4 linked regions of the Arabidopsis thaliana genome follow. The protein of the gene in region 1 interacts with the protein of each later gene in a biochemical or structural test. Each region holds a gene or a part of one and is shown on either strand. Other genes may lie near its edges. The genes, in order: HOS1, ICE1, SCRM2 and CO.

The links.
Region 2: the proteins of HOS1 (region 1) and ICE1 form a complex in vitro, tested with the Arabidopsis thaliana proteins (4 studies listed by BioGRID, with this or other methods).
Region 3: the proteins of HOS1 (region 1) and SCRM2 form a complex in vitro, tested with the Arabidopsis thaliana proteins (one study listed by BioGRID).
Region 4: the proteins of HOS1 (region 1) and CO form a complex in vitro, tested with the Arabidopsis thaliana proteins (2 studies listed by BioGRID).

Annotation. Positions count from the first base shown.
Region 1 is NC_003071.7:16,610,891-16,618,648, reverse strand, and holds HOS1 (ubiquitin-protein ligase), read right to left. Parts: upstream 5,873-7,758; 5' UTR 5,709-5,872; coding exon 5,619-5,708; intron 5,483-5,618; coding exon 5,092-5,482; intron 4,807-5,091; coding exon 4,672-4,806; intron 4,582-4,671; coding exon 4,406-4,581; intron 3,918-4,405; coding exon 3,516-3,917; intron 3,398-3,515; coding exon 3,239-3,397; intron 3,135-3,238; coding exon 2,643-3,134; intron 2,225-2,642; coding exon 2,087-2,224; intron 1,873-2,086; coding exon 1,235-1,872; intron 1,010-1,234; coding exon 847-1,009; 3' UTR 527-846; downstream 1-526. Other genes in the region: eIF6B (Translation initiation factor IF6), read right to left, coding at 1-85, 181-190; AT2G39805 (Integral membrane Yip1 family protein), read left to right, coding at 6,296-6,349, 6,823-6,880, 6,980-7,060, 7,248-7,416, 7,747-7,758. UniProt on the Arabidopsis thaliana protein: E3 ubiquitin-protein ligase that mediates ubiquitination and subsequent proteasomal degradation of the transcription factor ICE1. Acts as a negative regulator of cold signaling pathways.
Region 2 is NC_003074.8:9,832,157-9,837,039, forward strand, and holds ICE1 (basic helix-loop-helix (bHLH) DNA-binding superfamily protein), read right to left. Parts: upstream 3,117-4,883; 5' UTR 2,980-3,116; exon of another isoform or gene 2,733-2,979; 5' UTR 2,635-2,732; coding exon 1,630-2,634; coding exon of another isoform or gene 1,543-1,629; exon of another isoform or gene 1,448-1,542; coding exon 1,223-1,447; intron 1,131-1,222; coding exon 960-1,130; coding exon of another isoform or gene 930-959; exon of another isoform or gene 881-929; coding exon 797-880; 3' UTR 511-796; downstream 1-510.
Region 3 is NC_003070.9:4,382,744-4,387,175, reverse strand, and holds SCRM2 (basic helix-loop-helix (bHLH) DNA-binding superfamily protein), read right to left. Parts: upstream 2,873-4,432; 5' UTR 2,419-2,872; coding exon 1,534-2,418; coding exon of another isoform or gene 1,453-1,533; coding exon 1,240-1,452; intron 1,158-1,239; coding exon 987-1,157; coding exon of another isoform or gene 978-986; exon of another isoform or gene 868-977; coding exon 784-867; 3' UTR 525-783; downstream 1-524. Other genes in the region: AT1G12870 (F-box and associated interaction domains-containing protein), read left to right, coding at 1-47; AT1G12855 (F-box family protein), read right to left, coding at 3,565-4,432. UniProt on the Arabidopsis thaliana protein: Mediates stomatal differentiation in the epidermis probably by controlling successive roles of SPCH, MUTE, and FAMA. Functions as a dimer with SPCH during stomatal initiation.
Region 4 is NC_003076.8:5,169,642-5,175,005, forward strand, and holds CO (B-box type zinc finger protein with CCT domain-containing protein), read right to left. Parts: upstream 3,445-5,364; 5' UTR 3,057-3,444; coding exon 2,295-3,056; coding exon of another isoform or gene 2,154-2,294; exon of another isoform or gene 2,062-2,153; coding exon 1,702-2,061; coding exon of another isoform or gene 1,697-1,701; 3' UTR 1,408-1,696; coding exon of another isoform or gene 1,370-1,407; 3' UTR 1,263-1,369; coding exon of another isoform or gene 1,253-1,262; 3' UTR 521-1,252; downstream 1-520. Other genes in the region: AT5G15843 (uncharacterized protein), read left to right, coding at 1,253-1,262, 1,370-1,407, 1,697-2,055, 2,154-2,270, 2,588-2,741. UniProt on the Arabidopsis thaliana protein: Transcription factor that acts in the long day flowering pathway and may mediate between the circadian clock and the control of flowering.

The sequences.
Region 1 (7,758 bases):
GCAGATGTTGCGGAAACGAGACAATAAGCATTTGTGAGTTTGGAAAAGACACCAATTTCGCAATTATTGTTATCATATTGAAGACCTGCCAAAAACAAGAACAGAAAAAAAAAGAACAATCCTGTAAGCAACTTGAAAAGAAAGCATCGTATAAAAAGCTAAAGCTTAAGGGAAACTCACGAGTCGCCATGATATGGATCCAACAAACACCTGCGGAATTAAGTAACACGAAAACCTAATATGAGATTATGAATTTCAATACAGATCCAAGGCAGAAACAGAGAATGAAAGATTTAGGTTTTCGGATCATTGGTTATGCTATATTGAAAGATTTAGTTTTAAGGTTTACCTTGTCGACAAATCGGAACAAAAAGTGACGGAACGATAGGAAGAGACCCTATTCTCTCTTCCGAAAACCCTATTTATATATCAGAAACTTGGAACAAGCTTATGCTACTTATTTCCATTTATTAGTTTTGGTAAATAATAAAAAAGTTAAAAATTAAAATTTTGAGAGGAAATTGTGAATGTAAAAAGAAAATGATTTAATCTCAATGTGTTGTTATAACTTCTACGATTCAACAATCAGCTGCACCAATATAAGAAATTAAACATACTCATAATAATAATATCACTCCGCTCATCACAATGATATCTTTAAAATAACTGTCCAAAAAAGGTAGACTAGAGAAGAAATACACAAAATTCAGCACAAAAAATAACAGGAGAACAACGCTCACTGTAACAGTCTCTCTCCCCTCTTTACACAACTTGCTCTACCTCTCTCTCTCTTTCTCTATGCTTTAAACATAATTGATGATGGTCTTTTCGAGTGTTTGTTTCATTTCATCTTGCTGCGAATCTACGTCTCCTCCTTCCCTTCACCGGCATGGAACCAAAACTAGTCAGTTCATCTTCGTCATCGCTTGTTTCATCTGACCGCCATCTCAATCCACCACTGTTATTTCTGCTCTCCGTGGCCAAGACATTGTTGTTGTTGTCCTTTAAGCTGCAATTCATAATACACACAATTGATATGTAGCTCATCCAATATAAGACTAAAAGCCGTGGACATAAGAACCAAACAAAGTTCCTTAGACTGAAACCAAACTGGACTTTATTTTCAAACCAAACGGTAACAATAGTTTTATACCAAACAATACCAGTGTCCTCTACTTTAATGGCACGATTCAGAAAGGAACAAATGGCTAAGAGATAAAGAAGAGAGGAATACCTCGAAGACATGTCCATTGGATCATCCAAATCAACAAAGTTATCTTTGTCTGGTTGCATCCTTGTGCCAAAAAAGGTGGATTCCGGTTTCTGTGAAGATCCATTGAGATGGTTGCTGCTAGATTTCACTGTCACGGGATTGTTAGCTGTGATTCGGCGGAGATAAGGAGAGCTCATATTATTCTCTATGTATCTATCAACATTTACTTCTGGAGAGGATTCTTCAGTCCTTTTCCCTTGGAGCTGGCTGTTCCCACGAGCTCTATTTAGATCTTTGAACGGAGTTGACATTTCACCGAATTTCAGATTCTTGGTTACGCTTCTAACTTCACTCTTTTGTCCTCTATTTGCGTTTGTAAATAACCTTCCATGTGAAAGATCATGGGACGCGTTTCCTATCATATGACCAGGTTGAAAAGGACTGCCATTATTAGCCACTGGCTCTCTAGCTCTGGCATTGTTAGCACTTTGGAGAAAAACGGAATTAGTAGTGGCAAAGGGAACTGAAGAAGTAATCATGTCAGGTGCATCAGGAAGATCAGATTTTTTTGCTCCTTCAGAGGCATCTTCCATCTCAGAAAATTGTCCAGATCTAACTTGCTGCTGCTGAATTACTGGAAGTATATCTATGGCTCTATCCTGTTTCAAAGGAGCAGAGACACGGGAGGTTTAAATGTCCAGTTAAAAAAAGCCAGTATCAAGTAATATTGTACATTCAAGTTTCAGAATACTAGACAATCCTGCAAGCATCAACAGGTTATTAAGCACTAAAACGCAAATGTGAGGATGTAGCCTTTAACAAGGAACTATGGAAGGATCCACTTGTACATGGAAAGTTGGCTGAAATACTTACAACTAACTCTTTTCTCCAATGACTCTGTGATCGCATTCTGAACATAACTTCTTCCCCAATTTGATTGTCGGATACGAAAGCCTCTTCGATTTTCTGAAGCCTAAGATCGACTTGGTATGCCTGGATGTAACGGTAGCGCTGCAGCAATGTGAACAACCAGTAATTTCTAGTCAAAGAAAGACCATATACAAAAGATAATAACTTTCCAGAAAATAAGCATGGTCTATAGTGATGCAGTTTCCCTGGTTGTTCAAATAATTTCATGCTTGTTAACCAACATCCCAGACTACACCAAGCTCGAATTATAAAAGATTGTTGAAGCCACACATCAAATACGAGAACATATACCAGTCTCTATAGAATGAGCTAATTCTATACAGAGCCATCATTGAGATCCCTTATTAAAATTTTCAATATGTAGCTTAAAGCTCGGGAGGTTTAAGCTGCTGTCTAAATATCTATTTGCCTGTTGCTAAAGCTATTCTCGTTCTGAAAAACAATTCTCAGCCCATTGTTCAAGTGAAGTTATTTAAAGTTTGAAAATATAATTACTTACCTGAAGATAAAAGACAACCAAGAGACTACCCACAGCTGATGAGGGGTCATCAGTTGCCGAATCTAATAAGCATCTGTGCAGATATTTCTCCTCATCTGGGTTCCACGGTAACTCAATGATTCGATCAACCAAGTTTCTCCGAATAGAAAGACAGCAGAATTCATTGACAAGTATCTCCATCCATTCCGTCCAACTCCAGATGTCTAGATCATCAGACGCATGTTTCACAGCTCCATTTTTCAAATTATTTTCCTTTACTTTCAAGCAGAGTGTCCTTTGGTATGTGAATGCTTCACTCAAAAGACCACATTCCACTCTCACACGAAGAGCTGTGACAGCTTCACCAATTGAAACCAATTCTGATACACCATCACGACCAGACCAACGCAAGACCATAAGAGCTGTTTCAGGGTTATCCCTTTCTAACAGGACTTGCGCAACTTTGGGGTAGGTTTCTGGACCGCATATTTCAGGTAGAATCCTACAAGCTTCCTGAAATATAATTTGGAAAGTTTGTAAGCTACACCAATTAATAAATGTATGGCACAATAAAATACACGTTTCTATAAGTTTTCCTTGGGAATGCCAAAAGATACCTGGAGTGCCTCCTCTGAGTGATCATCGAGAAGATAAAATACAAAAGACTCCAGCAATGAATGCCTCGTTATGCCAAACGTAGCAGCAAAATCATCTATAGTGTGCTTCCAATATTTTTCAGGGGTAGTCCAATGCCGATCAAACAGGTAGTAAAGAAACTATCTTCTGGTTAAGGAAACCAGCGTAAAGGAAAAACATGGGAATGTTTCCTGATTCAAGTATTCATTAAAAGTAAAGTGCAATGTAATGTGAAACTAGGCGATGACAAAAGGATACAATTGCTTGCTTCGCAACAACCAAATCTGAACCGCCATGTAAAAAGAGCATGTCAGCAGCAGTTCTAAGATTCTCAAATGGATAAGATCCTGAAGTTCCCTCTATTTTGGACCTAAGAAATGATCTCTTATCCTTCTGTAAACGTCCAACTTCTAGGTCGGCACCTATTTCCTGACTGTATTCTGGCTCTCTCTCAAGATTTTCTAAAGCATCCTCAATAAAGAGGGAAGCACTCTGTACACTGCAATCTGAAGACTGGTCTACAGCATCAGGCCATGCACGCTTAACTGCATTTGATTTTCTTTCCCCTACCAGTGCATTCCACGATGTGAAATTCGAATATCGAGACCTCACATCATCCAGAAATCCATGTCTGATGCACCAGACCATTATGTCCAAATGCTGAAATAAAATAAAAAGAATAGGGTAAGCACACGTAAGCTCAGTGATCTTGCACCAATAGCTAAAGAGCTGATCTATTTAAAACACTCTCTGGTCAGAAGCCATAAGGTTATACTCATTTACTATTCAGTATGTCATATAAAGATAGGTTACATATACCCCATCTACATTCACTAATATGCAATGACATTAAAAAAGAAAAGAAGAATAAAGTCACAAAGCTAGGGATAGAAAATCAGATCCAAGCTGATGATGGAAGACCATTATCGTGCCTTTCATACATCTAAATGCAAAGCTTTTACAGTACAAACTTTACTGCAAGCCGTATACAAAACAAGTAACTCATTCTATGACAGAGGCAAACTAAACATTAATGCACGTAGGAAACTTCAATGTACAACGGATATTTCTAAGGGGGATAAAGAGAGTTATTTAAGCATACTTTTGCAAAACTGTTTGGATATCAATGAAATGAAATCATGGCTGACCTGCTTTGTTTTACCAATGTTCTCTCTCAGCGTCTGCACATCTTGAAGCTGAGGTGACACAGAACCCTTAAAAGCTGATTCCATAACTTCGAGCACACTACATATGCCAGCCACCTGTTTGGAACACCTTAGGAGTTTATCTAACCACGCTTGCATCTCTTTTGTTTCAAGATTATCTGAGGGCCAATATTAAAGATAGACAGACCTTACGGTGCACAAATATACAGTCTTAAGAAACATAAAAATATTAACAGCTAAAAGGATACAGATTTCTTGAAGTTCAGCTAAGGTGCTCCGGAATGTACGCTTGACCCAATCCTTGACAACAACTTCATCCAGCAAGAAAGCAATGACCGGATCACTAGATACAGCTGTCTCATCCATACAGACATTGGTGATATCTATTAATTTTCTGTCAAGGAGATGTCAACTATGCATCCAACATAAAATACCTCTTAGAGAATGAATGACAAAAACACTATGCACATTTCGCCCAACAGAGACAAGCATGAAACAAGAACTACCTAAAAATACATGAACCTATCAGTACAAAACTCCCCATATAAACACAGTTCCTAATAGCACAAGCATACGAATCTAAAAGAAATTCATGAAAGTATCAAACAGGAAACTAAAAGACTAAATGCATATATCAGACACCAAGCATAAATGCAACTGAAGGATACAATGGCAAACCACCGAGATCAAATTATTGTTCATAGCAACATCAAACAGAGAATAAAGGCGATGAACATCAGCTGCCAATTGATGTTCATCCTCATCCGAATCCTGTGACGCCTCTTCATGTGTTCGGGAAATCAAACCAGCTTCAACACACTCATAATAGAGACGAAGCCTAAGTCTATCTCCAAATTTTGGTAGCGTACTTCTACAGATAGGACAAACATCACACCTCTGACAACACTCTGTGCACAAGGAGGCATGACCACATGGATTCAACACATAGTTCACAAATCTTCCACAGCTAGCTAAGTCTCTTGTTGCACGACATCGCTCAACTTTTGCCTCATTACATAATTCTCTGAGGTTTATAGATGCCAAATGTTTCAACGCCTCCTGTAAGTTACAAACAATAAATTCGAAATTAACTCTAAGCTCTGCAAAACCCATTTTTTTAAGCTGAACCTAGAAATCCTAAGACCTGAGCTAAACTAATTCAGTGGAGAAATAAAAAGGTATAAAGCGGAAGAACCTGAACAGGCTTGCTACTGTAATTAGGCTGCGTAGGAAGAGATATCGATCTCGCGGCGGAGGCAAAACCGTTGATTTCTCTCGTATCCATCTACTCCGGTGACGAATACAAAAATGGAGGTAAAGAGAGAAAAAGCGTGGTTGGTGTTGGCGAGAGTGATAAAACCAGTCTAGGGCTCCGTTGAGCTTTCTCGGGAGGGAAGACGAAGAGAGGAAACACTGTTGAGTGAATTTCTCCTCAAACGGGTCAAGTCGGATTGTTTAATTCGGGTCAAATTTTAAATATGGGCCTTTCTTTTTGAAGTCTTGTGTGAATCTTGTGATTGTCTGGGCCCAAGTCGGCAAATCACGATTCGGGTCAAAATTTAAATATGGGCCTTTGTTTTTGAAGTCTTGTGTGAATCTTGTGATTGTCTGGGCCCAAGTCGGCAAATCACGTGTCCGAAAGTGAACAGCGCGTGTTTTACCGACTTGCTAAGAAAGCGCGTGGATCGTTCTTTCTTTAGTTTCTCTTCCTTTCCCAATTGCTTCCACGACGACGGAGGAGGAGAAGCAAACCCAGAAACCTTAAAAATTCAGAAAAAGGGACGACCTTTTTTCCGATCTTATCGATTTTTGAATGAGATTAGAAGAACCTATCTTCTAAGTTTTTCTTTGATATCTTTTTCTCTTTGATCGATGGATGAGTCGTTCGCTAATCTACAATCAAGCCATTTGCTTGGTTCAGTTCCGGTAAGTCTATATTACATCTATTGCTTCTTTCATTTCACCATCAATAAGCTCTTTGATTGAGTTTTTCTATGATCCTTGTTTGTGTGAAGGGAAAATTAACGTTTTTTGTTCATGCCATCATTTTGTTTGTTGTTCTGTCTCAAGTGTTACATTAGGAAGTAGAATTTTGAAACTTTTCAGATTTTTTTGTCATATTTTTTCGCGTCCACGATGATGCCTAAAGTCTTCACACTCATAGAACAATGGACGATTTCCTTATTTGCATTTCTGGGTTTCTATATTTGTTAAGGCGTTTTATTTAAGTTTTTTCACCATTTTAGGAGACAATTCGTATGAAAAACAAAACTGTATTTGAGTTTAAATGCTTGCATGATAGCTTCATTTTGGATTGAATCCGCTAAGATAAATGTTTTGAGTGAATGGATTGACTATCCCCGTGTTATTATGTCTGATACAAACATCTGTATTCTTAGGCTGTGATCAGCGACGACAAGAGAAGCACAAATGTACCAATAGCAAGCGTCAATGAAGGTGTGTTCTTTTGCTAGTTTCTGCTTGAATTATCTTTTGCAAAGAACTTTTCCGGTAGTGAAAGACATTGAGTGTTGTATGTCTTCTGCATTATTGCAGGCCCTTCTGCAAGCATGCAAATATTTCCACCGAATCTAGGAAACAATACAAAGGGTTATCAAACTCTTGAGAGCCCAACAGGTATATATGCTCCTTTTAGATTCCTTTTTTAGGAGATATTTTTATCTGTAGTCACCATGAATCAGTACAATGGTTGAAAGAATACTTGTGTGAGTCAACCTCGTTTTTCTTATGGATGTCAAGATCCTATATACCTTTGTTTTCACCTTGTTCTGTCTTATATGGTGATATATCTTATCTGCTCCAGTAGAAGGACCAGCACAACAGCCATCAAACAACTGGAAGGGCTTTTTTAATGTCTACTCATATACCCAATACTTCGACGTGGACACGGACGTTGTTTTGAACAGATTAATGAGCTCTTTATATCCTACTAGTGGAGATTTTTTCAACAAGATTGATGCAAACCCTGATTTGTAAGTCTTTTAATGCCTTTTTCTCCTTCACTCTTCTTGGTGATTGTACTTACCATGAGAGAGTTCTTTCGAATTTCTTTAATCGGTCCATTGCTCAGTCATGCCGTTAATTTGTTACCGTTCTAAGTGTTATCTTCTGCACCTTTCCGAAAGCATGATCTTGCTATTCATTTACTCCTATGTTACTTCAGGCGATTGATTAAAATATCCTCATTTTCTCTTGGACAAATGAACAGAAAGCATCATAATATGTTATCCTCTAAAGATTGGCTAAAAGCTAGGCCTTTCACAAATTATTCTTGATTAATGACTCGTGTGTGCTTCTGTTAGGTATGGACTTGT
Region 2 (4,883 bases), on another chromosome or scaffold:
ACATCACTAAAAACTAGAATCACGAGGACTTCATTACTACATGCATTATAATCATAGAAAAATTCAGAGAAGCTAAATTAAAACCCTATAAAAAAGGTTAGGTTTTTAAAAGATTCAAAGGACCTACCACTTTTACGTTTCTTCATCACATCCTCTACGTTCTCGTGACTCTCTCTTTCTATCTCTAACCGCCATTAACTATGTCTCCTCTCTATCTCTCTAAATCTTTCTTTTGTACGGATACATACAACGTATATAAAAGTTCTTAAAACATTAAGTAAGCATTTAAAGAAGAAAACAAACAAAATGGTAGGGTCTATTCTTTGCTCTGCCTCTTCCTTCACCATTCTTTTCTCTGTTTTTTCTTAAAAATCTCAATGTTTTTCTTCACTCTTACATCATCAAAGCTCATTTCATCAGCTAATACCAAAGCTATACCTTTAACATAACTGTTTTGTCTGTATATGTGCAAATGTTTTGTCTGTCTTCTTTGAGAAGTTCACTCATGAACAAAGATGAAGACTTTAAAAAAAATTCTTGAGCATAGCTTTAAGATGAAACATAAATGGAAGTTAACATTGCTAATAAAAGGTTGAAGTTATGTATCCAACAACAACAACCTCAAGTTCTCAAAAGCTTAATTTAAAAACAACTCTCATTTGCAATTGCATTACATGCTTAGATTGAAGTTATGACATAAGAAAAAAAGTTGAGAAGAAAATTGCAGATTTAAAGGGACTTAGTTCTTCTAGCTCTGCTTCAACAGATGCTTAATGGACTCGAAGTCAGGATCAGATCAGATCATACCAGCATACCCTGCTGTATCGAAAAGCACTGCTTTGATTTGATCAGGCAGTATCTCTTGTCCTTCTTGGCATTGCTGATAGACAAAAGAAAACATGTTACTACTAAAACTGTTCTACAAATCCTTAACCTTTCAACTGAGAGTAGAAGATCACCTCAGCGCGGAAAACATCCAAGGCAAACCCATTAAAACAGCTGATCACAGCTTGCTGAACATCCAATCCAAGATTATCCAAAGCTTTCATGGTAGCGAGCAACAGACCCGGTCTACGACCACAGAACATATGAATGTTCACTGCTCTTCCTTCCCTTAATCTAACCTCAACCTGTGAAAAAGAAGCAGAGTAATCTCTCAAACATGAATCTTTGTTTTCTTCTTTCCAGTCTAAGCAAAAGTTATACAGAATATAGTCCTTACTCTAGCTTGCTGGCCTTTAGGACTTGGTAAAGAAGAGGGACACAACTCTTCCTTGACACGACAAGAAAGAGTTTGCGGTGTAGGTGTCAACGGATGGAAGCTTGATGAAGTTGGAGGCAAAGATCCAGGAGGAGTTGACTCAAGTTCATTGTGAAGATCATTGATCCTTTGTAGAAGTTCCTTCAGATAATCAATTGCATCTCCAAGTATTGATGCTCTATCCATCTGCAAATTCATCGAAAATCCATAAAACACTATCACGAGCCTCTTCCTCAAAAGAGTAAAGCAACTACATGCAAAGTTTGACAACAACAAAGGCCCTACAAAGCTACAACACAACAATTCTCTATAACAGCAACAAGTAAACAAGCTCTTAAGGAGATAAAAGAGACAAAGTAAGTGTTTACTTTGCTGATCTTGGGGACAACTGATCTAAGCATATAAAGCCTATCATTAAGCTTCTTCCTCCTTCTCCTCTCAGCCATCAGATTCTTAGCAGGCATACCTTTCTTCTTACCCTTTCCTCCTCCTCCAATCTGAACACTCTCAGCCGCTTTACCGCTCTCATTTATCTCATCAGACTCATAGTTCAACCCAGAAACCTCAATCCCAGTCTCATCCATATCTCCATCATCACTAAACCTCCTCATTCCCGAACTCTCCGAATTTCCCATTTTGCTTCCAGAGCTCTGACGCATAGCTGCACGTTTCTGGAACAGAGTAGGCTGTGCACCAGACGATGCTAACACCTCTAAAGGCTTCAGAACTTTCGCTCTGTTCCCAACAAAACCACCATTAGCAGGACTACCAAAACCTTCCAACTCCAACGGAGCTGTGAAACCACCACACAACATTGTGTTGTTGTTGTTGCTTTCCGGCGCAAGAAGTGACCGAGCAGACAAGAAATCAGGAACAGAACTCAAATCCCTGTTCCCCAATTGTGTCAAAGAACCAAACCCCATCGAAATAGGAGCATGGATTTGGTTAAGAAAACCAGATTCAGAGCCAAACTCAAAAGCATTATCAAAAGGGTTTGCAGAAGAAGGAACATTGAGAAGACAACCCTTGTTGTTGTTAGTTGACAAGAACTGATTTTGCTGAGAAGGGTCAAGACTAAAAGCTTGAGAAGGAGAACAAGAAGAAGAAGAATCAATAGAGTGTTGAAGAAGAAGATTATCATTAGGGTTAAAAGGAAAACCACCAAAGTATCTGAAATCTGGCTGATTCTGTAACATCTGAAGATCTTGTGGATGTGGTTGGTTACTACTAAACCAATCACCTTCAAGCATAGGCTTAAACTGAGAAGAACCATCTTCTTGATTCCTTCCCCATGAACCTTCCTCGTTCTCTTCCCTTTCTCCACCACCACCGTTTAACCAAACCCCTCCACCATTGTTTCCGTCAAGACCCATCGCCAAAGTTGACACCTTTACCCCAAAGTCTGAACCTTTAGAGGAAAATTCTGCAAAGTTGAGACCTTTAACTGAAATTTGGAAGCTTGAAGACAATTCTGCAAAAGTTTGAAAACAAAAGATATATACTTTGAATATTCAGAGACTTGGAAAAGTAAAAAAAGAGAAGCATTAAAGTAGAATCACGAGGATTTCATGAATTGAAGAAGCGAAATCTGAAAAGGAAGATAGAGATAGAGAGAGAGAATGATAGATTCATTTCTCAGAGCTTTCAAAAATTGAAACTTTTTTTTTGATGGATTCAATTTCGGCCACCATGAAATTGCTTTATCATTGAACACATACCCCAGATTTCTCGTGACTCTCTTTGCTTTGCTTCGTTTACCGTATCTCTCTCTCTCTCACCGTCACTATTTCTCCATTTTTCTGCTTAATTTTGGCTTAAGCTTATCTCTCTGTCTCTGTTGTCACTGTCTCTGTCTTTATATAGACAGTGTTTAAGTAAGTTAATGATGATGATGATAATTTCAAAGTGTAATTAGCATCATTCATGCAACGCGTGTCTTCCATGCATTTCTTTAACTCATATTATTACCTAATTATTGTTATGTACTTAAAAGTTCTTTTTCAAAAGATGGTAATAAAATTTATTTTATATTCTTACTATTAAATATATTTCCTTTTATTTTTTGTATTTTTTTAAAAAATTATAAATAATTATGTTGTAACGCATATCTCGACTTTACCGGCGTCGACATCTTTTCGATGGTTCCTAAGCTTCTTGAACAAAGCCACATCAAGCTCAAGTTTGTAAGTAAATAGTTTAATTTCATAAGTCTTTTAAACATTAATTAAGTAAGGACGAGTAATTCCAAATTTTCTGATGATTGTAGCGTTTATCACCATTATCAACTAAATTGAGTTCCCAAAAAAATATAGTTGTGTTGCGATATGCTTTCTAGTCTTCTAGAGGAAGTAATTAGGGATTCATTTTCTAAAAAGTTTTGTTAGTTTCAATTGTGGCTTTGTGCCTTAAATTGGCTTTTTGCTTATATAGTTTTGGTTTATGCTTTATTATTAGAGAATTTGTTTTTCTACCGGCTAAGATTCCGGAGATTTAAACGTGTTCTCCGGCTATCTATCTTAGTTTCCTTCATTTAAAGGTTTTAATAAACATTGAATTTTTTTTTTTTTATGGGCTGTTTGTTGCAGTCCACCCATACTATATGGGTTCAATTAGGATCACTATGTAGTAGACCTCAGCCCAATTCATTATGTATTTTTTATCTTCTTTCTAATTTCATACAAACTATAAAATTCTACCTAAATAACCAATTTCCATTTATTTCTGTAGTTGTAATTTATAATCAATAATTCGCGTTTATTGTTTCGAAATTTGAGTAAATCTGAATTTAAGACTCGGTCAAACTTTTTAAGACTCGGCCAAGCTTTCAAAGTGTTTTTGACATGTTGTTGGGAAGGTTTTAAACTCGGATTTACTCTAATCGCGAAATAGTAAACATGAATTATTGATTTTAAATTGTAATTACATATAATAATTGAATTTGGTAAATTGGGTAGAATGTGGAATTAGATAGAACAAAAAGAGCAGAAGGTGAATTGGATAGAGGTCAAAAATATTGGTAATCCTAGTTAAACGCATATAATACATGTGGATTGGTACAAACAGCCATTTTTTATTTATGCATCAAGTACGGTAGTGCATTTTATCCGTTTCATGAATATTGATTTTGCAAATTTTCATTTCACACAGATTAAAAATTTATACTGCATTTTCTTTCTTTCTATCTACTTCTTTTTATTTACTGTAGCTATACATGATTTGATTTTCAATAATAAACACTTCCCAAGAATTATAATTCAATATTAGTTTTACTTTATTTTAAAGCTACTATAATACACATAGGAATCTTGAAGATTGATCTTTGATGAAATGGATGACGTATCTATTTCACCAGTTTCAATATATTGTTTCTTTGCAAATATATGAAAATAGTCTCTTTGTTTTCAATAAATCCAGCATGGCTTGAACAAAATAAACTTACTCATTAGAAATTTTTTAAAGATGAATATGAACAACTTAAAGCTTATTTTTAACTCCATCAAATTAAATGGTAATGGTTAGTGTGCAAGGAAAACTTATTTCCAAGTAGTCGATATATCCTTCATTTGGTAGCAATTTGGTGAATGTGCTGAATCAACTAGCAACTCAATGTTCTTCAAAATTT
Region 3 (4,432 bases), on another chromosome or scaffold:
CCAGCATCTGTAAACGGGACGCTTTATTGGTTCACAGAGCTATATAATGCTGAAATCAAAGTAATAGTTTTCGATATCATTACAGAAAAATTCCGGTTGCTGCCAAAGATAGTTCCCGCTATTGCTAGTTTAGATCCTAGCCATATATACACTCTGGATAATGCTTTGTGCATGTCGAAAAGAGAAGGAGATAAGCTGATCCAAAATATTTGGAGGCTGAAGAAATCATCAGAAGACACATGGGAGAAGATTTATACCATAGATTTTCTTTTAATTCTTACCAATTAGCCAAGTTTATCTGGTTCCATTATGTTTTTGTCTTTAACATCTTCAGTCGCCCACGGCACAAACCAAATCTTACTAAACTGAACCAAGCTCAGACATTTATAAAGAATATGAATTTTACATAGAGATTCATCTCTGTTCTGAAAAATTGATATATCAGAGCGTTTGCCTATGAATTGTGCATTTCTTAATATTTTGTTTAGCCTTTTCTCATGACAGACTCATGTGTGTTTTATCAATGAAAATCAACATTGCTCTCTTCTTGCAAACAACATATAAATGAAAAGCAAAGTAGAATTATTGAGAAACAATGGCATTTTGCTCAAAGGTTGCAACTATTGTTCCCCAAACACATGTTCTCATAGCTAAAATAAAACAGTTATCATCTTCCATACATGATTGAAATTGATGAAACTAAGTAAGAAAATTGCTGACTAAAACAGAACAAGGACTTAGATCTAGCTCTGTTCCACACAGATGCTTCCTTCTGCTTCGCAATCAAACCAAACCAGCGTAACCTGCTGTATCTAAAAGCACTGCTTTGATTTGTTCAGGTAACACGTCATGGTCTTCTTGACATTGCTGATTAGAAACACAAAACATGTTGTTACTTGTATACTAATCATTCTCTCAAATAACTATTCTTTGACTGCTAGTTTTACTAATCAGTGATCAGCATAGCATCTTAACAACTATATTACCTCAGCGCGGAAAACATCCAAAGCAAAACCATTGAAACAGCTAATCACCGCTTGTTGAACATCCAATCCTAAGTTATCCAAAGCTCTCATGGTGGAAAGTAAAAGACCTGGTCTACGTCCACAGAACATGTGTATGTTCACTGCCTTTCCTTCTCTTAATCTAACCTCAACCTATATCAAAACAAAGAAGCGTTACTAAGAAAATTAAAGAATACAGCTTTGTCCACTAGAAAGCAATTGAGCTTATTCTTACTCTTGGTTGTTGGCCTTTAGGACTTGGCAAGGAGGAAGATGGACACAACTCTTCCTTAACACGGTAAGACAGCGTTTGTGGAGTCGGTGTTAACGGATGCAAGCTTGAAGAACTCGGTGGAGTAGATTCAAGTTCGGTGTGAAGATCGTTGATTCTTTGTAAAAGCTCTTTGAGGTAATCAATAGCATCTCCAAGTATTGATGCTCTATCCATCTACATTTGCAACCCAAAATTAGTGACACAAGAAGTTATTAAGGAGAACAAAGAGAAAAAAGGAAGAATCTTTTTGGTTACTTTGCTGATCTTGGGAACAACTGATCTAAGCATGTAAAGCCTATCATTAAGCTTCTTCCTTCTTCTTCTCTCAGCCATAAGATTCTTTGCAGGCATTCCTTTCTTCTTACCTTTGTTGTTATTAGTATTATGGTCATCAGATTCGTAATTCAATCCAGAGATATCGATGATTCCGGTACTAGTATCGTCAATCTCTCTCTCGTAGCTCGATTTCCTCATTTCAGAAGAACTCTCAGAATTGCACATTTTGCTACTCGAGCTCTGACGCATTGCAGCTCGTTTCTGAAACAGAGTTGGCTGCGAGCCAGATGAAGCCATTACCTGTAACGGTTTTAAAACCTTTGCTCTGTTTGAGAACAGAGGACTCAATCCACATGATCCTGAGCTGTTTTCCGGAGCTGGAAGAAAATCCGGTACTGAGTGGTTTAAGCCAGTGAAATTCATCGAGTTCGGAGATTGATGATTTCCATGGAATTGTTGTCCTAAGAAACCAGAGTCAAAGCCGAAGTCATCGAAAGTGTTGTTATTGATGGTTGGGACGTTGAGAAGAGAAACTATACAAGCTTTCGTAGCTAAGAAAGACTGTTCCTGTTGTTGTTGTTGTTGTTGTTGTTGCTGTGAAGCAGCGTCGAGTGTGAAAGGATGTAATAACGGAGAAGAAGAAGAAGAAGAATCAATCGATTGCTGAAGAAGAAGAAGCAGATTCTCTGAGGGGTTTAAAGGAAAGCCACCATTGAATCTGAAGTCGTTTTGATTAGTGTGTTGTGGTGGTGGTGGGTTATTGAACCAGTCTTCATCTGGGTTTCTGACCCAAGACGCAGCTTCACCGTTATTAACTTCCGGAGATTCACCGGAGCCGTCAAGCCAAACACCGTCGCTGTTCATGTCAAACTAGTAGAGAGAGAGAGAGAGTGGGAAAAGTTTCGAATTTTGGAGAGAAGTAGAAATGGAACCTCAAAAGGAGACAAGGCGAGAGAAACGTAGATAATATAGAGAGAGATTTTTCTTGAAAGGAGGCGTACGTTATAAAGTGGAATCACGAGGATCTTATGAAGAAGAAAAAAGTGAGAAATCTGAAGAAGAAAGATAGAGAGATTTCAGAGCTCGAAAACCCTAAAAAGTTGAGATTTTTGGGGATTTCAATGTTGTCAAGGCCACCATTTATTTACTCTGTTTGGTTTCTTGGTCTATCTTGGTTTAAGAGTTGGTGTTGATTCTCGTGACTATTGTTTTTGCTTTCCGTCTCTCACCTCCACTTCATCTTTGCCACCTCTCTCTCATTTTTTTTTGTCTGCAGAATTATTTCAGTGATAGAGCTTAGGAAGATGATTTAGTTAAAGCTAAATCCGACCGTTAATAATCAAAATAAGTATACAGTTCAGTTTGGTTGAAAAACTTAATAATGTGGGATTTGGTTGGCAATCATAAAAATTGTCACCGTAAAATAAACAAATTTTGAAAAGAAAAATTGTAGTTTTTTTCTATATTTGAAGTATTTGGGACTAAAGAATTTTAATCTCTCAAAACTTTGTGATGTGTGTCATAGACTCATATTAATTGTAGCGGCAAACTTGTGTTTAGATTGTTACATAGATTGGCTATTAATCAAATTTTTTTTGACATGAATAACAAAAGTATATTGAATAAAAAAAAATCTTGCAACAAAGTATATTGAATAAACATTTCAAGATTAATACGGATAAAAGATGTCGGATGCAATGGTCCCTTTTTTTTAACAACGAGGCAATGGTCCCTTTAAGATAAAATCTATATTTCATCTTCCTTTTACATCCACACACAGAATGAAACTGATTTTTGTGTGGATTAACGAAAATACTCGTCCTCATTTTTTTGAAAAATCTGTATCATTTCATAAAGTAGTATGATTTTTGGTAAGTATAGTGTCATTTGGCGAAATAAGTATGGTTTATTATGATTTATGAATAACAGCATGCTATCGGATAATATAACAATCCAAACAATTAATGCTTTGTTTCTTACATTACATGCTTCCAAATACATCAAAGCATTTTATATATGAGAGATCAAACTCTGAAAATAAGAAGCATATCTTCTACACAAAGGAGGTTGGTAAATTAAACTGATAGATTTTATTTGGGGATCGTATTTGATCATATTGCGGGCATAGCGATGTGAGAGCAGAATCTTCTTGTCCTTGCATATCGCCACTGGTGTGGATGGCTCAACCAAATCTTTTCGTGTCCAATTAAATCCATCGCGGAACTCAGATAAAGAAGAAGAAGAACAAGAAAGCAAATCTATGGTATAAACCTTCTCCCATGAGTCTTCTGATGATTTTAACCTCCATATCTCTTGGACCAACGTATCCGATTCTCTTTTCGACATGCACAAACCATTATCCAAAGTGCACATGTCGATATGGTCAGGATCTGAACTAGCAATGGCCGGATTAATCTTAGGTAGCACACGAAACGTTTCAGTGTGAATATCGAGAGCTACCACTTTTATTTCGCCATTATATGGTTCCGTGAACCAATAAATAGACCCGTTTGTAGCTGCTGGTACTTGGTCAGGGAATATCCGATAGCTTGGAGTGCAAGTCAAGTACCTCCAAGCGTTTGCCCTAAAATCAAAAACCTCGCACTTTGTAACTCCCAGGTTTGGATTCGAGGCATCAGAATTATACAACCACACTAATTTGTAATCATTGGCCTTCACGAATGCTGTATAACAGACTACTGGTTTTATGTCAATCCAAGTGTCTTGAGTGGGGTATAACTTTTGCATCAAAATCTGAAACCTAGCCGGAGGAAGTTGTCGAAACCACCGAGTGGCCGGGTTAACTACATATATGGCTTGTGTTTTTAGGGAATGGATGCAGAAAAGTCCGTCACAGCTTTCAGAAGCATAGATCCGG
Region 4 (5,364 bases), on another chromosome or scaffold:
AATAACTCATCGTGAATGATAAGATTATTATCTTTTGATAAGATAAAGATAGAAAATGATCATGCAACAACAAAAAAGGAAACTTCCTGAAAGAAGATAAGCTTAGTTCGGAAGACTACTTGGGCCGTCCCCTGAAACAGAAGTTTATCGCGCAAGAATAATTGGGCCTTATATCAGATCCTTTGGCCCAGCCCGTTAGTATTAGACAAGACCAGTTGCGTGCGTCATTGTTGAATATTTCGAAGTTTGATGATCGATCGTCGCTCAAAATTTAGGGCTTTTCACTTCACAATCCCGATTTGGGGTTTTCTGGTAAACTCCTTTAATCTCAGCTCGTCAGACAAAATCGATCTGGGATGAATTTGGATCTAATTGAGCAAAAAATTGTGTTTTTTCAATCTATTGAATTTCACATCCTTAAACCCTTGCATATTCAATCTATTGAATTTCGCATATTTTTCCTCAAATTTATCCAAAATCATCCCAAATCTATTGTGACGGGTTGAAAGTAAGTTTCTTTATCGAAAATCAGTTTGAATGAATGTTAGGGTTTATATTTTGATGGTGACTGATTCCGATTTGTATAAATGTTAGGGTTTATACTGGTTTCTGACTCTCTGGTAAGTATAGAGATGATTATATATTAAATGGTGTTTTAAGGCGTGTTCAGATATAGCTGTGCTTGTGTTGTTCTGTTTTGGCATTTTTCATTTGTTCTGTCTTTACTTCTTCTTAGTCAGTCTGTGGATTTCCTTTGTAATGGTTATTGGTTAGTTAGGAACTACTCTCAGGCCTTCTTCACATGACACCAAAGTTTTTTGTGGATTATGTGGAGGAAATTGCTATTTTAGTATATGGTCATTGAAGCAAGATAAGAACCTTAGAAAGCAGAGTGTTATAATTTTTCTGTCAAACTCATGCTGTAGTTGCAGACTTTTTCCTACTTCAGATTAAGGAGAATGGTTTTTTTTTTGTAAGCAAGAAGTTAAAAGAGTGAGAATCTATGAAGGCCCAGGGACCATGTAAAGTTTGGGAATGGTTTTAAAATTTGATGGCTTTGAGAATCGATCTGAACTATCCTTAGATTTTTGGAAAAGTGCAAAAAAGTGCAAAGTGCAGCATCCTTATATCACTTTATGAACTTTTCACGTGAGGTCTCGAATCCATCACTTAACATTAACACATAGTATAAGCTATACACTTGGTTGTTATTACTTATTTCTTCTTACAGTTCTTGAAGCCGAGAACATATATGGCTGATGGTTTCTACAATTAGGAACGTGATATGACTCATTTTAGTAAGAAGTTGTGATTTACAGCTGAGGAGTCTGTGTTATCAACTTGAATTGTAGAATCTTTTTGTTGTCAGGGAGGCGTGAAAGTGTCACATGTTCAGGTTATCGGGAAGTTATTGGCTTTGAACCTTGGCTTCCCTCTTAGTAGTTAGCAAGGTGAAATCTGCGTTTTCACTTCTTGATGATCCATATTTCACAAATGGGGATCTGTACCAATTAGACTGGTTTTGTTTAACTAATGCAGAGAAAGAAGAATACTATAGTTTTAATTAGCCAAAACTACAAACCCATTTGCACAACAGTAGTAATACTTCTTGAAGCTAAGAATTTCACCAAACCTAACATAATCTCAAACTAAAAGTAATTTACAGCTTGCAATCTAGTTTTTCTTTTTGCCACAGGAGTATCAGAATGAAGGAACAATCCCATATCCTGTGTTGTACATTAGCATCGTGTTGAACCCTTGCTCCTCGGCTTCGATTTCTCTCTTTGCGAACCGGCCATTGACCCGCGGTCTTATCTCTGCATATGCCTTCCTCGAAGCATACCTTATTGTCTTCTCAAATTTCCTTGTCTTCCTCTTCTCTCTGTATCTCAGGACCCTGGCTTCTCTGTCCATTGGACTGAGTTGTGTTACTGTTATCATCTGGCTTGCAGGGTCAGGTTGTTGCTCTACTGTCCCTTTGGGCGTTCTTGGGTGTGAAGCTGTTGTGACACATGCTGTTGACTCCGGCACAACACCAGTTTCCATGGATGAAATGTATGCCTAATGACAGAAACAAAGACATTCTCAATCCCCCTGGTAAGAGGACTAAAGAGAGTCGATGCAAAAGGAAGCATATATTGTTTTTATTATAGACTTCTGGTGAAATTTCTATGTGCTATAGATCAACTGTTGGCAGTGGATCAGTGGATTTGTGTGTATGATGAAAGAATTCACCCTGCTGCGTTATGGGAAGATGCTAAATTGAAGGGGTAACAAATATACAAAAGCCTTACGTTATGGTTAATGGAACCATTGTCGTTGTAGTGAGTCCCTGAGGAGCCATATTTGATATTGAACTGAAAATTCTGTTGGTTATGGCACTGGTGGCCCCTTGATTCTTCAAGTTTAAGCGGAACAACTCTATCTCCCCCGTAGCTCGTCTGTGGTACGCTGCAGTTTTGTTGGTGTTGACTGTATTCACCTGTGAATTTGTAGTCCATACTCGAGTTGTAATCCACAAGGTTTAGATACTCATCACTAAACAATAACCCATTGTTTTGGTTATTGTTATTTTTGTCTGAATTAGGGAACAGCCACGAAGCAACCTCCTTGGCATCCTTATCACCTTCTTCACCTTCCTCTTGATCCACCACCAGTCTCTTCTCTGGATCGGTCATTGTTTTCTCGCTTTGGTGGTGAGTAGTGGTCATGGAGCTGAAAGAGTTTCCAGAAATTGGTAGAATTGGAACTCGCTGATGGCGTCTAGCAAGTGGGTTTGCAGAATGAACCTCTGAATCACAGGCTGTGCATAGAGAGGCATCATCTGCCTCACACAAAAAAGCAGCCGGAGCACGCTCACATGACTCGCAGACCCGGACACGTTTATGGCGGGAAGCAACGCGATTGGCAGAGTGAACTTGAGCATCACAGCTCATGCACAAGTAGGCAGAATCTGCATGGCAATACACGGTGCAGGCGTTTGACCGGCATGTGTCACAGGGTCGTGCCCTGTTGTTCTCTCCACTACCTATGTCGTTACTCTCTTGTTTCAACATAATAACTCAGATGTAGTAAGTTTGATGGTGTGGGAGCTGGTATCTGAAAGAAGGGGCTAATAAAGCTTATATCTGGTGTGAGAGAATAAGTAGAGGGGAGATCGAATCCTGAGTGCCTACACGTGGCACAGCGTTAGTGGCTCTTACATGTTATTGGATCCTCTTGCAGCTAGTTGAGCTTTTGGGAAGGCCTATGTGTAAAGTGTAAAGTGTAAAGTGTAAAGTGTAAACATCTCCTCCTATGCACTTCTTCGTTGGGACCCGTTCACAAGTTGCTTAGGTTTTGCCACTTGCCATACTGAGATTCTCAAGAGGAAGTGGTCCGGATAATGCCATGGTGTTGCAGGCAAATTGTTACTATTTTTTCGTATCACCTTTTACTATTTTCATATGCATTTTATTTAAAGTAAAGCTAGATTCGTTTTATCTCTTTGGCTTTATACAAAGTTTAAGTGGTTGAATATTCATCCTGAACCTTGTGATTACTGTTCAGGTATCTCTCCGAGTAAGGCTTCGAGTGTCAGAGCCATCACCAACTGTTATGGGTTGACTACCTATACAAAGGTTAGACAAACTCGTGAATATGGTATAGTTGTTGTTCCATTATTTGTGAATGCATCTGCATCATTTAGAAAGATTTGCAATTGAAACTTTCGAAGGATTTTCTGATGAAAAGTGTTATAATGTTTAATCTGGTTCATAAAGTCATGGTAATGAGAATCATATCGGAAAAGTGACATGAAAAACATAGAGACGGTGGATTTTCTAGGATCAAACTCGAATCCGCCAAGTAGTCTTGAGACTACAAATTAGAATTTACCTGACGCACAAGTTAAAACTTAAAAGGCATTTTGGAGTCCACATGAGCAATAATTAGATTTATCATATATAGTATGTAGAAATTTGCACTTGGTAACCATTATAGTAAGTAGTTACAAAACATGACTCATGAGTGTTGTCACATCTCTGTAATTTGGGTTTATGATGATACTCTATACTATTTATTGTAGCTTTATTAGATCTCAACCTGTGGAAGTAATCTAATACAAACGACACTTGTATGGAATTTTCAGGACATGTTTCTAAGATCACAGAGGTAATTGTGAAGTTTTCTGCTACACTCATTTACTAGTCCACATGATCCATAGATGCAATTTAACCATCTTCACTCTATTTGGTGACCCATTCATGTGTTTAGCATCGTGGGTTTTCCTGTACTAATAACCATTAGTACTTGGAGTTGCCTTGTTGGTGTTATGCTCATAATGTTTACTATGTGGAAGCTACAGGATACGATACTCTCTAGGTTTGAGGACTAGCTCCAGTTACGCTTTTGGGTCCAGTGAATGTATGATACCCATTATGTGGTCCAAAAAGAATGAGATTTGACGGACGCTCTAGTGGCCAAATTCATATGGCTACCTTCACTCTATGCCTTAAGAGCTGAAAAGTGAGTGTTTTTTTTTTGTATAAAATGCTGGTCCTAGGATACACTTTTCGCATCTCTTCCTCTTTCATATTTGCTTACACCGCACTTCTCTTTCCCATTTTGAACTTTAAACTTTGAAAAGTTTTTTTTTGCTTGGTAATTGGAACTTAACATACAAGTTCTTGTTATTTACTGGTTTTACGATGAATGTAATGGCATTTAGAATTGTTATGAAATGGTTATATGATCATTGAATTCTAAAGAAAAGATTCTAGGTTCTTTAGTAAGCATTTTTGGAGATCTTTATCCTGCCAAGTTGGATAAGTTGAGGCATCTTTGGCTTTTAGTGCTTTGGTGATGAAATTTTTTGGAGATTGTAACGTGGTTCGAGTTCATGAAGAGTAAATTGTGTATTGGCCTTTTCACTTGTAGCTCAAGAAAAAAGTAGTTTTGCTTATTATTGCTCGTTGACAGTCTCTAATTAAGTTTATTGTTGTAGCGGTTTGGAACTTCTCTCACATGTGTAGGCCTTCGGATAACTGTTACGAGTAATAGATCATATGTAACAATATCCTCAAAGTTGCATCGAGATTTTCAAGAAAACACTATTGCTTATTTGTTTTCATTCTTTATCAGGTTTCCGTGGTTTCGAATACTTTGCTTCTTTCAGATTAACGAAAACCCTATTTAGTTGCAAAGACTGAGAAGAGAATAAGAGTCGAGGGACCATATAAAGCTTGTAATTGTACGTTTATGCGGATTCTCCACTTTCCATGGCTGTGAGAAACTATCTGAGGAAAAGTGCAGTGACCTTTGGCAAAAGGTAATCACTTTTATGCACTTTCACGTGCTAGCTCGAATCCACACCAAATAGTAACA